Linked DNA regions of Nothobranchius furzeri. The protein of the gene in region 1 interacts with the protein of each later gene in a pairwise test. Links are inferred from orthologs where the notes say so. Each region holds a gene or a part of one and is shown on either strand. Other genes may lie near its edges.

Region 1 (4,260 bases):
ACACCCGGACTGTTCTGGTCTGTGGCGAAGCAGAAGCTGGTGTCTAAACCACCACAGATTAAGTCAGACTTCAGCAGAGACAGAGATTAGAAAATAAACACCCAGCTGGTAAAAATGGCTAATGGTTTGTGTTTAGCACCTTCTTAGGTTTCTACACACACATTCACACACACATTCACACACTGGTGATGATAAGCTACGATGTAGCCGAAGCTGCCCTGGGGCGCGCTGACAGAGGCGAGGCCTGCTGAACACTGGCACCACCAGTTCCTCTGACCACTTTAAAACTGAAGCTGCTGAACTTTTTTATTATGTCTGTTGTTTGTGGCACAAAGTAAATTAGTCAGAGTGGAAATAATAAAAAGCAGTTTTGTTCTTAAGTTGTTTCTTAGCAAGGTGATTACTGGGTTTGCTGTCAACATAATTAGTAAGAGGTTTAACTCATCAAAATAAGAGCATCTTCAGGTATTTAATTGATATTTTATATGAGACCTTCCTGATTATGATGTTCAAAACATGCAGAAATAACATTTTAAATGATCTGTGTGTTTAATGGTGATGAAACCAGATTACTTTTATTGTGCGTGTGTGTGTTTGTGTGTGTGTGTGTGTGTGTGTGTGTGTGTGTGTGTGTGTGTACGTGTGTGTGTGTGTGTGTGTGTGTATGTGCCCATGCACGTGTGTGATTGTGTGTTAGTGCTGACATAGTGAAAACAGCACCAGACACGTGTGACTTTAACAAGGAGAGTAGGAAGTACATATGGGAGACCCGATAAAACAAAAGCTTGTTTGTAAATCTGAAAATGACTAAATCATTTTAACAGTTTTTCATTTTATTTTATTTTATTTTATTACTCAGCAGCGAAATAAAAAGTCGGAAATAAAAGAAAACACGAGTTGAAGTAAAACTAAAACACGAAACAAAAATAATCTGCTTCTCCACTGCAGCAAATACACAAAATGTTTATACCTGATTTTAAACACCTGGAGTCTAGCAGCCAACCTATCAGCTTCAGCTAAAACTCATCGGGATCATTTGAGCCAAACCTGCAGCGGTGAATCACACAACTTATCAGGGTCATGAACACAGCTACGGTAGAACACACACACACACACACACACACACACACACACACACAGTCTGTTATTTATCTCGTGTGTTTGAGCGTTTAAGTCTTTGGAGTTCCAGTCTAAGGACCTGCTTGGTTCTGGTTCCGATCCACTGGACGAACACAGTTAACGTCTTGATTAAGACGTGAACTGTGCCTCTGACAGCTGAGCTTGGAAAGTGTTTGTTGTGGTGATGAAAACGAGCTGAAACCAGCACAGATGTTGGGCCATGCTGCCCCCCCACACCATCTGTACACTAGTCCCCAGCCTTAAAACAGCTCCCAGTCAGTGTGACGAGCTGGTTTCAGCTTACACAACAACAACATCATGGTGTTATTGGGAAAATGCCGCAGCGGTTTGAACGTTCCAACAGAAATCAAGACTCAGATTAAACAGATGTAATCTCCAGCAGGGGAAGGCTCATCAAGAAGAACCTAAAGGTCTGAGCAGGCTGCTGCAATCACCAAGCTGATTGACCTGAACAGACAACCTGGTTCTGCTCGATGCAGGTCAGAGGTCAAAATCACACTCAGCTCTGGAGGTGGAAAAAAATCTTCCTTTAAAATAAGCTTTCTGCACGATGCGGTAGACCTAATCTGATCCTCGTTCTCGCTCAGCTCTGCACTGATGTGGTTAGTTTGAATGATTCCAGTTTGTTAAAGATGAAAATCCGATTATCTTAGCATGAAAAATTAGTTTGGAAGATCTGTTACAGCTAGTGTGCCTGAGCCCTCAGTGACGGTGCCGTCAGGGACCGGGAACAACTGCTTTTAGATAAGAATTCCGTTCCATCAGTGAGGCTGATCCGGCTGAACGTCGCCGATTCGGGTCACCGGATGAATCTGTTTGTGCGTCTCTAAATGCATTTTGCACAAAAATTGGGCTAACGCAACAAGTCTGAATAAAGCAAATGAGCTTGAAACGTAAGATTCCAGAAGTTAAATGTTAGACCTACTGATGCTAATTTGAACGATGCATTTACAGACCAAAGGCGGAAAAGTAATTGGATAATTGAGTTTCACATTAAGGCCTCCAGTCGCCAGCTGATTTTTGGGTGCATCTCCGTGAAAAGCGTCCGTTTTTTGGCAGATTTTATGCAACTTGCAGTAAAAGTTAGACTTCCCCCTGCCTTCCTTCTAGTGGTTTCCTGTAAATCTGCAGTAAAGTTTTATGGGAGGAAACCACAGCTTCCATGTTAGTCATGTTTACAGGAGACCTTAAACACATCAAGTAGGGCCCTTGAGCTCAGCAGATAAATAAATAAAAAGCCATAATAACGATTTCATGATGAAGGCGTTTGATTTTACTTTGCGCCTAATTGATGTAAATGAAGACAAAACGCGCACCTGACACAAGTTTTCTTACAGTTGTGTCGCTTTTGAGCGCAGCAGCAGCAGCAGATCCCAGATCAGACCAACTCTGATGATCTTACCGTTTCTTCTCCTTGTCTGCCGTCATGTTGGAACTCCGACAGTCTGAGTTAAGTCCAACTTCAGAAGGTTGTCAGTGGCTTTTAGGCCAATGTGCGCAGTCCCAGCGGGTTATTTAGTCCGTGGATCCGGTCCGGAGGGGGTTCGGGGACGTACGGTCTCAGAACACTGCCGAGGATCGTACAGCCTCTCACCCTGCACAGGAAGCGCTCCGCGCAGGCTCAAGTGGCGCTCAGCTCCCGCTCACAAACGCCCGCAAATCCGCCAGTGGGAAAACTCCCCGTTCTCTGAGACCAGAAGCGGTCAGGAGGGTTCGGGCTCTGACCTGAACGTCAGTTGGCCCGGTGACAGCAGTCCCAGGGAGCTGATTGGCTCCGGTGGCCGCCTGAAGCCACCCCCTCACGGCGAATCATCTCCACCCCCGAACTGAGAGCTCCCACCTGTACCTGGATGTGGCGGGGCGTGGCCACGGGTCTGCACACCTTTTACACGTCAGGTTACTACATGATGGAAAACTAGTATCTTAATAGGCTCTCATGTATTGTATATTTTCTATTTTCTCGTGCACGCGCGCGCGTGTGTGCACATCTTCACCAGAATTGTTACATGCTTCTCTGATCATTTCTAATTCTCACCACAAAACCAAAACATTAATAAATATGTAATAACTCCTGTTAGTTACACTGTCAGCGATGACAGGAGCAATTGTCTCAACAGATACTAAAACTGTTTGATTTTATCCTTCTACCATTAACCTTCTCAGGCTCAACATAAGTTTTGATAAAAGGACGAACAACTAAGTCCTTCAGGGGTACTTCTGAGTTTAAAAATGCTCATGAAATACATATGTGGAGTAACTAGGTAGGTAGGTTTTAACGTTGCAAATCTGCAACGTCTGCCTCCAGAGGGTTGATATCGACTGATATCAGAATTTAAATGAAATATCAAAAAATGCTGGCATCAGTTTTACATACACTTATAAAACTTTTCAGCTACTTCTCCTCTGTCTCAAAACGTAAAAATAAACCAATCTGAGTTAAAGATTTTGACATATTTTTGTTTATTTGTAACAACTTGTGAAGCAGAAATTAGCCCAGTGTAGTGAACGTGTGATAAATGATAAATGGCCCACACTTGTATAGTGCCTTTCAGAGTAAGGACTTCAAAGTGCTTTACACTACAGTGTATCATTCACACACACACATTCACACACTGATGGTGATGAGCTATGATGTAGCCACAGCTGCCCTGGGGCGCACTGACAGAGACGAGGCTGCCGAGCACTGGCGCCACCGGTCTCTCCGACCACCACCAGCAGGTAAGGTGGATTAAGTGTCGTGCCCAAGGACACAACAGCAGAATTCTCTGTCCGGAGCTGGGATTGAACCTGCAATCTCACAGCACATAGCGTGAAGCTAGCCAGCTAACAAACAATAAAAACAAAAACAAAATTCTATACTGAAGGCTTGCTTTTCTTATCTGAAGATCTTTATAAATAGTTTATCACTGTAACAGAACAATTATTAACTAATACACACATTTTAACGTCCCACTTGAATTAGAAGCAGCTGCTGTGGGAGACTATATAAAAATGTTACTTTTCCTGTTAGTAACTATTATTTTGTCTTGGTTTAAAATCCTATCTTTACTATTATTGTGTTTATTTATGTTTGATACTTTAAGTGGGAGAAAACAAACTCAGTTTGGTGATGTGCACATA
Region 2 (4,126 bases), on another chromosome or scaffold:
TGACCAGAGAATGCTGCTGTTGTGTCCTTGGGCAAGACACTAAACCCCCCTTGCCTGCTGGTGGTGGTCGGAGGAACCGGTGGCGCCTGTGCTCGGCAGCCTCACCTCTGTCAGTGCGCCCCAGGGCAGCTGTGGCTACATCGTAGCTCATCACCACCAGTGTGTGAATGTGTGGGTGACTGATCCGTGTTGAGGAGTAGCTACTCCTGTGATCAGCTGACCTGAGCGAACGAGCGGGCGTGTAGCGATGCAGTAGCTCAGACAGATAGGGAGGGGCCGGGCCATTTAAGCCCTTAAAAGCAAATAAAATCATTTTAAAATCAATCCTAAAATGAACAAGCAGCCAGTGCAGGGAGGCTAAAATGAGGGAAAACCTTTGATTGCCACTTAAAAGGCGAGCTGCAGCACTCAGAACCCTCTGAAGCTGAGCAAGGCAGGATTCACTGACTCCTACCTCAAATGCCAACATACTATTCTGATAGGAAGTGGGTGGTTGATTGTGTCGAGGCTGCTGAGAGGGCTAGTAGAACCAAAACCGCTGCCGATTTAGCATCAGCAGCTAAAGAAATGTTGCTACGGACAGCTAGAAGAGCAGATTCAGAGCTGTGCCGACAACAAGAAGCAGACTGAAAAACTCAAGGATTGGATTGTCATCTAGGAAAGTCTGGAACTGCATAAAAGCAGCATGTGTTGATCCTGATAAACTCAGCCTGTCGTGGACACCGCTCCTGCATCCAATCACCGTTACAGTAAAGGCTGAAATTACTGTTTGAATTTACTTTGTTCTTTTACCTCGATAACTCTAAACTTAAACGACTTCTGAAAATGCTAAATCAGACACACGGAAACCTAAAAGCCCCGCTGAGCATCTGGTAATACACACAAGCGTGACCGTCGTGTGTTTTTAGGTACCTCGAAGCTGCTGGTTGTCACACAACAATCTGGTCACCACTTCATTACCAGCGAACTCTGGTGGGACCCTGAGGACCCCCCCGCAGTCCTCTCCTGACATGTCCCACTGCATCGGACCATCAGGCTGCGGCTGCACCATTCCTGCAGAAGCAAAGGCTGGGAATTACAGAGATCTAATCCATTCACTTCTTCATATGAAGAACTCAGACTCTGGCGGTTCCTGAACCTGTTTCCTGGTTTCCTTTGGAGACTTGTTACACTTTTAGCTCATTTTTTAATAACGTCTAAAATCCAGCCTTCGTGGCATTTATTTAAACGGGCATTGGAGAAACTTTTTTGTTAGTCAAATTAAAACATATTGTGTACGTTGGTAAGAAAGACTAAAAAACCTGTTACCATCAACACTGCAGGTCAGTTCAAACCAGCAGAGGCAGGAACAGTTTGTTTCACCACCAACAGAAAATCATCCCAGAAACTGCAGAGTTCAGTCACTTCTTTACTGCTTTATGACGTCACACCTGTAGTGAGTGAATCTCACCACTGTGGGATTAATAAAGTCTATTCTATTCCTTTTTTTATGTTATTGTGGTCGCTCCGATTGTCATCTAATGCAACAACAGACAAAACAGCAACTTTTGCTGCTTCTGTAGCTCTAGTAAGAAAAAAGTTTCCCCTGGTTCGCTAACTACTTCCTTACTTATAAATATGGTTTCCAATAATCTACACATTGAAGTCAGAAGTAAATTAGAAAAAAGAACAATCAAGCAATTATCTGAGTCTACAGCCGATCGCTTTCAAATGCACAAAAATATCAGAAATACAAATGGTTCTAATTCTAGTTATCACCATGTTCTTATTGTTAAATTCACATTACTATAACATACCAAATGGCTCATAAAGATGAAAAAACAGGAAGTCACAAGGATCTCCTGCATGTATATTTTTCCCTTGTATGAATATTGTCCTTGTTCAATTAAAATTGTTATTATTTGAGAGACAGCAGGCTCAAATCGTGGCTGTGCTGTTTGATTTTAAAATAAGAAGTACATAAATATGTGATTAAAAGAAAAATAAAATGAAAAACGATCCTAAAAGCCACCATGGAACAAGTGAACATTTCAGGTGTAAGTAAGACCTGAGCATGACGTCTAGGGGGACTGGACACGTTTCAGCCCCGTTGGGGATCTGGAAACGTGAAACTTTCACTTTCAGTTTAAATGTGAATTAACTGTGTTTAATATGACCGGTTTGTGTCACGGCTCATTGGCGAGGTGCCAGAAGCCCTTCTGAACAGTTACACCTGAGAACAGGTGGTCATCAACCTCTTCTTATGGGACCTCAGCCTTGTCATTGTCATAAAAGTAAGATCAGGTGTCTGCTATGAAGAACATCACGATAACCTCAGCAAAGCTCACGTTAAATACTGTTTAGACAACATAGCTAACACACAGCTAACAGACACAAAACTTGTCTTACCTTTTTAAATTTTATGTCGTAAACAACAATTATCCAGTCTCAGACTCACAAACTACTCCCTTCACCGAGTTTAAAAGAGCAATCTGACTCAAACAGCTGAGATACAGCTAATTAGCTCAGTAAGCTAATATAGCACAACAACGGCTGGGCAAACGGACGCCTTTGGTTTCACATAAACACGGACCTACATCAACGGATCATGTGGCCTTCCTAAAGCATGTGTCCAGTTTTGAATCCTTTCCTTCGTGAGTTTAAGACTACCAGAGGTAAATCAGAGGCAAACCAAAGGTAAGCTGTCAGCTTTTCGACTGTTATTAGCGTGGAAAAATCGTGATATATCACCCTCAGTTTAGCCTTGTAGGCAGAACACCCGTGACTCGAACATCGAAAAACGTGTCGTTTATTTTAAGACGTTTAATTAACACAAATGAACAATAAAAAAGTTGACAAATTACAAGTGTGTGATCAAATCGAAATGGCTGTGAATTTAAATAATACCAGTGGCACATCGTATCTTTAAGCGCTGCAGAGGAAAACTCTCCTGTCAGTATTAACCCAGGGTGTAAACACTCCGTTCTCAGGAAAGCCCCTTCCTTGTTCCGTAGTGGAAGATGACGTCAGTGCGCTGCAGCATTTTGATGTCCGCTAACGTGAAGGAGGTGAAGATGCTCCCCATCTCTGCCGCAGCGGTTTCTCTTCTGGTGGCCTGGATTTACCCCAGCGGCGCGCTTTATTTCCACATCGGAGAGACGGAGAAAAAATGCTTCATTGAAGAAATTCCAGACGAGACGATGGTGATCGGTGAGCCGGTTAGCTTAACGCAGCTAACTAGCCGTCTTGCTAACAGCTGGTTGTTTAAAGATGCAGCAGATGACACCAATAGTTGTTTATTATTATTATTATTATTATTATTATTAGAGACTCGAGTCAGACAGGAAATTCTGGAGGCTTCAGCTGCGGGTTGTTCACCACTGAGGAGAAATAACGTTTAAATATCTGAAAATTCAGATCATTTAAGGGAAACATTCAACTTTTGGCCATTGATCTTTAGCTTGTTGTTTATTATCAATAAAATAAACATTTTCCTGTTTACGAAGGTATTTCCATCAAACCTAAACAAAAGATCTGTCAAATATCAAAATGAATACACAATCTTTTAAATGCAAAGAGGAGATGGGGTATAAATGTGAATGTTTATTAAATATTTCATTCATTGCTGGGATGATTTTATGAGATAAATACTATTATTACATCCATGTGTCCAATATTCCGTCCTAACACAGGACAGCAGATGTTAAGCTGGTTTATTACTGGCATCCAATTTGTGGATGATCGTGTGTGTGTGTGTGTGTGTGTGTGTGTGTGTGTGTGTGTGTGTGTGTGTGTGTGTGTGTGTGTGTGTGTGTGTGTGTGTGTGTGTGTGACAGGAAAGTACCGGACTCAGCTGTGGGACAAACAAACCACTTCCTTCCTCCCATCCACCCCCGGCCTTGGCATGCATGTAGAGATCAAGGATCCAGACACGAAGGTAAAGCCAGACAGGAAGGTCTGGAGGTTCAGAGCAGAGGTGTAAGTCTGAAGGTGTCTCCTCCACGTTCCAGATCATCCTCTCTCGTCAGTACGGCTCTGACGGACGCTTCACCTTCACCTCTCACACTCCTGGAGAGCATCAGATCTGTTTGCACTCCAACTCCACAAAGATGGCTCTGTTTGCAGGAGGAAAGCTGGTACGGAGACC
Region 3 (3,651 bases), on another chromosome or scaffold:
CTCAGCTTAAACCATCTGGCTCCCCTTGTGATGTGCTGCCCCCTAGAATTGATAAAGAACTCTTTCCAGTGATAGGCCCTTTGCTTTTGGCAATCATAAATGGCAGTCTTACTTCTGGTATGGTTCCGTCCTCGTTTAAGAAGGCTGTTATTCATCCTATGTTAAAAAAGCCGGGACTGGATGTGACAAACTTAGCTAATTACGGGCCCATCTCAAAACTCCCTTTTCTTTCCAAACTGCTGGAGAAGGTCGTGTATTCACAGTTGGTTGCCTTTATGGACACAAATGATGTATGGGAGACTTTTCAGTCAGGGTTCAGGGCAGGTCACAGCACTGAATCTGCTTTTAATGGTTTTTAATGACACGTTTTCAGCCGGTGACATGGATAACAATGTCGTCCTACTATTGCTGGACTTATCTGCAGCTTTTGATACAGTCGACCACGAAGTCCTTCTGGACCGACTACAGCATTGGGTGGGTATAGCTGGGCAGGCCCTCCAATGGCTTCCCTCCTACCTTCATGACAGGACATTTAGTGTTCAGATGGGTGAGGTGACGTCACCCTGCGTGAGACTTTGTTGGGGTGTGCCACAGGGCTCTGTCCTTGGTCCTCTCCTATTTGCAGTGTATTTGCTTCCTCTTGGAGTCCTCCTTCGTCGGCATAATGTGAAATTTCATTTTTTTGCTGATGACTGCCAAATCTATCTCCCTCTTCGACGTGGGGAGGATAGATCTGTTTCTCCTTTACTGCACTGTTTGAAGGACATAAAATGTTGGATGGCTTCTAATTTTTTGCACCTAAATGAGAGCAAACCGGAAGTCATAATACTTCATCCTGGCAGAAGAAATGGCTCAGGTGCTGATATTGACCTTGGCCCATTGACCCCCTCTGAAAAGAAAATAGTAATTTGGGGATAAAAATTGACTCCTCACTTAATTTTGACACTCGCGTAAATACGGTGGTGAGGTCCTGTTTTTTTAATCTGAAATGACTATCTAGGATCAGGCCTCTGCTGTCCAGAGCTCATCTGGAGTCTGTGTTGCATGCATTCGTCCTGTCTCACCTGGACTACTGTAACGCTCTGTATGCCGGTCTGGGCCAGTGCACGGTTGCACGGTTCCAATTTGTACAGAACTCAGTGGCTAGGTTCCTGACCGGTACTAGATGTCGAGATCACACTACTCCAGTGCTGGATGCTCTGCACTGGCTCCCAGTGCAATATCGAGCTAAATGTAAGATCTTAACTCTGTTTATAAGGCCCTCCAGGGCAGTGCCCCCTCTTACATTACTGCACTTTTGCACAAGTATGAACTTCTGGTGGTCCCCCGGTCGAAATATCAATCGAGGGGTTATCGTGCATTTTCTGTTTTGGCTCCAACTCTGTGGAATGAATTGCCATTGAGCATTAGGCAGGCGCCGTCCCTTCAAGTCTCGTCTAAAGACTCATTTCTATTTGATTGCTTTTCAGCGCTAGGGTTCATTGAATTGCCCTGACATTATGGTTTTTAATACTTCTTTTTGATCAGGATGCTTGATCTTATTTTGTCCACCATTTGTTTTTAATTGATTAGTCTCATTCCGTTATCTCTCTGTATTTGTAACATTGCTTGCTTGTTATTTTATGATTTTATGTTTTTATCTTGCTCTTAAGCCCAGGTACTGGGAATGTTTTTATGATGATGCTGTTCAGCACCTTGGGCTTCTGATAACGTTGCGGAAGGTGCTCTACAAATAAAATCGATTGATTGAACAAAGTGCGCATGTGTCACCGGCAACTTCAGCAGATGATACGGTGGCTGGTAAGGGTCACCGCGCCTACACCGCAGCCACGGTAATCCACCGAGATAATATATGTTTTTAAAAACAAGATGGTTATTATTATTGTCAACCTTTTTTACCGGGGTTTACCGCTACACAGGTTACCGCGACGACCCTACTTCAGACCAGACACTCTTATTTTTATGGTTATAAACAAATGGTTGCACCTTTTCATCTACCCATGGCCTCTAAACTGTTAGCATACCTGGCTATAGTTGAGAATCTTGTACACAGACTCAGAAACAAAGAGGATTTTGCCGCGATCGCACCCAACCACGAACAGGAAGCCATCAGCGGCCTGCAGCGTTAAAACACACAAAATAATCACAGATTAATTGATTTCAGATGCATAATTTTGATATAGATTAGAAGCTCTTCGTGCTCACTCTTAGTATCAAATGCTTCAGCTCATCGTCTGAGAGGAAGGAAGGTTTGTAGTTTGCTTCGGTGTACGGGTTGGCTGCACCTGCATGCAATAAAAACAACTGAACTCCACCTGCACACATCAGAGCTCACATCCTGCTCCTGTTGGTTAATCTGAACATACTTCTACATTTGTTGATGGTCAACAGAATTAGTAGTGCTGGAATATCTGGCTCTGGTAACCCATTTCCATCCCCTTATCTTTATTTTGTCATAATAAATATGCCCCTTTCTGTAACCACGATACATTTTTTAACTGCTCAGGAAAGTTCCCGTGAAAGATGGCGGATTTTCAGCCTCCAATAAGAAAACAGAGTCAGCGAGGGGAAAAAAAGTCCTATCTTGAGCCGTTATCCTTTAACGCTCCATCTGCAATCGGAAACGAAACTACAGATTATCATTATTGATCGATCTACTCAGAAATCTGTCCTGTCGCAGCTCGATTATGAAATATTAGAGAGGAAAAATATCAACACAACACCACCTCGGTGAGCAGATGTTTGGCATTTCCCTTCAAAATATGAAAAAGCAGGAAGAACATCCTGTCCTTCCTTTAACACTGCCTTTTAATAAAGCACATTTATTTTCCAGCCATGACAGGAAGTGCGTCTGCAGCCAGAGTTGTCAGTATTATTTACTATAAACAGTCTTTTGCTTTGTTGCAATTCTGACAGTTAATGCGATTACAGAAGCCAGTGAGTGCACTTTTGTATCTCGCTCTGATGCGGTCAGCGTTCCCCGGGGCGGATGCTAACCTCTGAGCGTCTTCATGTGCTGGACAGCCATACGCAGGACAGTGAGCTTGTCCAGCTTACGGGACATGGCGTTACAGGTGGGCACCAGAGACGCCAGCTCATCAATGAAGCTGTTCATCTTGTCCCTCCGACGCTTCTCGATCTGACTGTGAGCCTCTCTGCAAAGATTTGAAACGGTGGAAATCTTTATTCAACGCAAAATCAATCAGAAGTTAAGATGGTATTTAAAAAGTATTACCTGGCATTTTTAATCCTGCCTTGTTGGTCGCTGAACAAAATAAACAGGACACATTAAAAGGGAACAGCTGGGTAGAACAAATCACACATTTTAAGGATTGAAGATTTATAGTTTTAACAGTTTTTTTTTAATTGGTTTCGGTCTCTTGTGATTTTAGTTTGTAATTAGATTTGATCTGGAACAGCGCCTTGGGCTTCCTGGTAAGGTGCTTTATAATAAACAACTCATTCAGGTTGTGCAACTTAATCACAAATATGCAGACAGGGTTTATTAAACTGCCAGAATCACACCGGGCTACGATTAATCATGCAAGTTTCAGGGAAGTCTAAAATGTCGCCAGGAAACCCGGTTGCTTTGGATGGGTCGCAACACACTTCGAGCAGGTTTCCGAGACAAAATTCATCCTAAAACAGTCA

The links.
Region 2: the proteins of epas1b (region 1) and ikbkg interact in a two-hybrid assay, tested with the Homo sapiens proteins (2 studies listed by BioGRID, with this or other methods). The link is inferred for Nothobranchius furzeri from reciprocal best matches to the Homo sapiens genes EPAS1 and IKBKG.
Region 3: the proteins of epas1b (region 1) and bmal1a interact in binary tests that used the Homo sapiens proteins (3 or more experiments, as listed by UniProt). The link is inferred for Nothobranchius furzeri from reciprocal best matches to the Homo sapiens genes EPAS1 and BMAL1.

The regions. Positions count from the first base shown.
Region 1 is NC_091752.1:43,774,019-43,778,278, reverse strand, and holds the start of epas1b (endothelial PAS domain-containing protein 1b), read right to left. Parts: upstream 2,801-4,260; 5' UTR 2,569-2,800; coding exon 2,543-2,568; intron 1-2,542.
Region 2 is NC_091755.1:44,542,061-44,546,186, reverse strand, and holds the start of ikbkg (NF-kappa-B essential modulator), read right to left. Parts: upstream 2,912-4,126; 5' UTR 2,887-2,911; intron 2,714-2,886; exon of another isoform or gene 2,389-2,713; intron 1,054-2,388; 5' UTR 1,052-1,053; coding exon 913-1,051; intron 1-912. Other genes in the region: tmed4 (transmembrane emp24 domain-containing protein 4), read left to right, coding at 3,000-3,189, 3,816-3,916, 3,990-4,115. UniProt on the Homo sapiens protein: Regulatory subunit of the IKK core complex which phosphorylates inhibitors of NF-kappa-B thus leading to the dissociation of the inhibitor/NF-kappa-B complex and ultimately the degradation of the inhibitor.
Region 3 is NC_091744.1:85,112,731-85,116,381, reverse strand, and holds part of bmal1a (basic helix-loop-helix ARNT like 1a), read right to left. Parts: intron 3,266-3,651; coding exon 3,236-3,265; intron 3,156-3,235; coding exon 2,998-3,155; intron 2,286-2,997; coding exon 2,206-2,285; intron 2,118-2,205; coding exon 2,025-2,117; intron 1-2,024. UniProt on the Homo sapiens protein: Transcriptional activator which forms a core component of the circadian clock.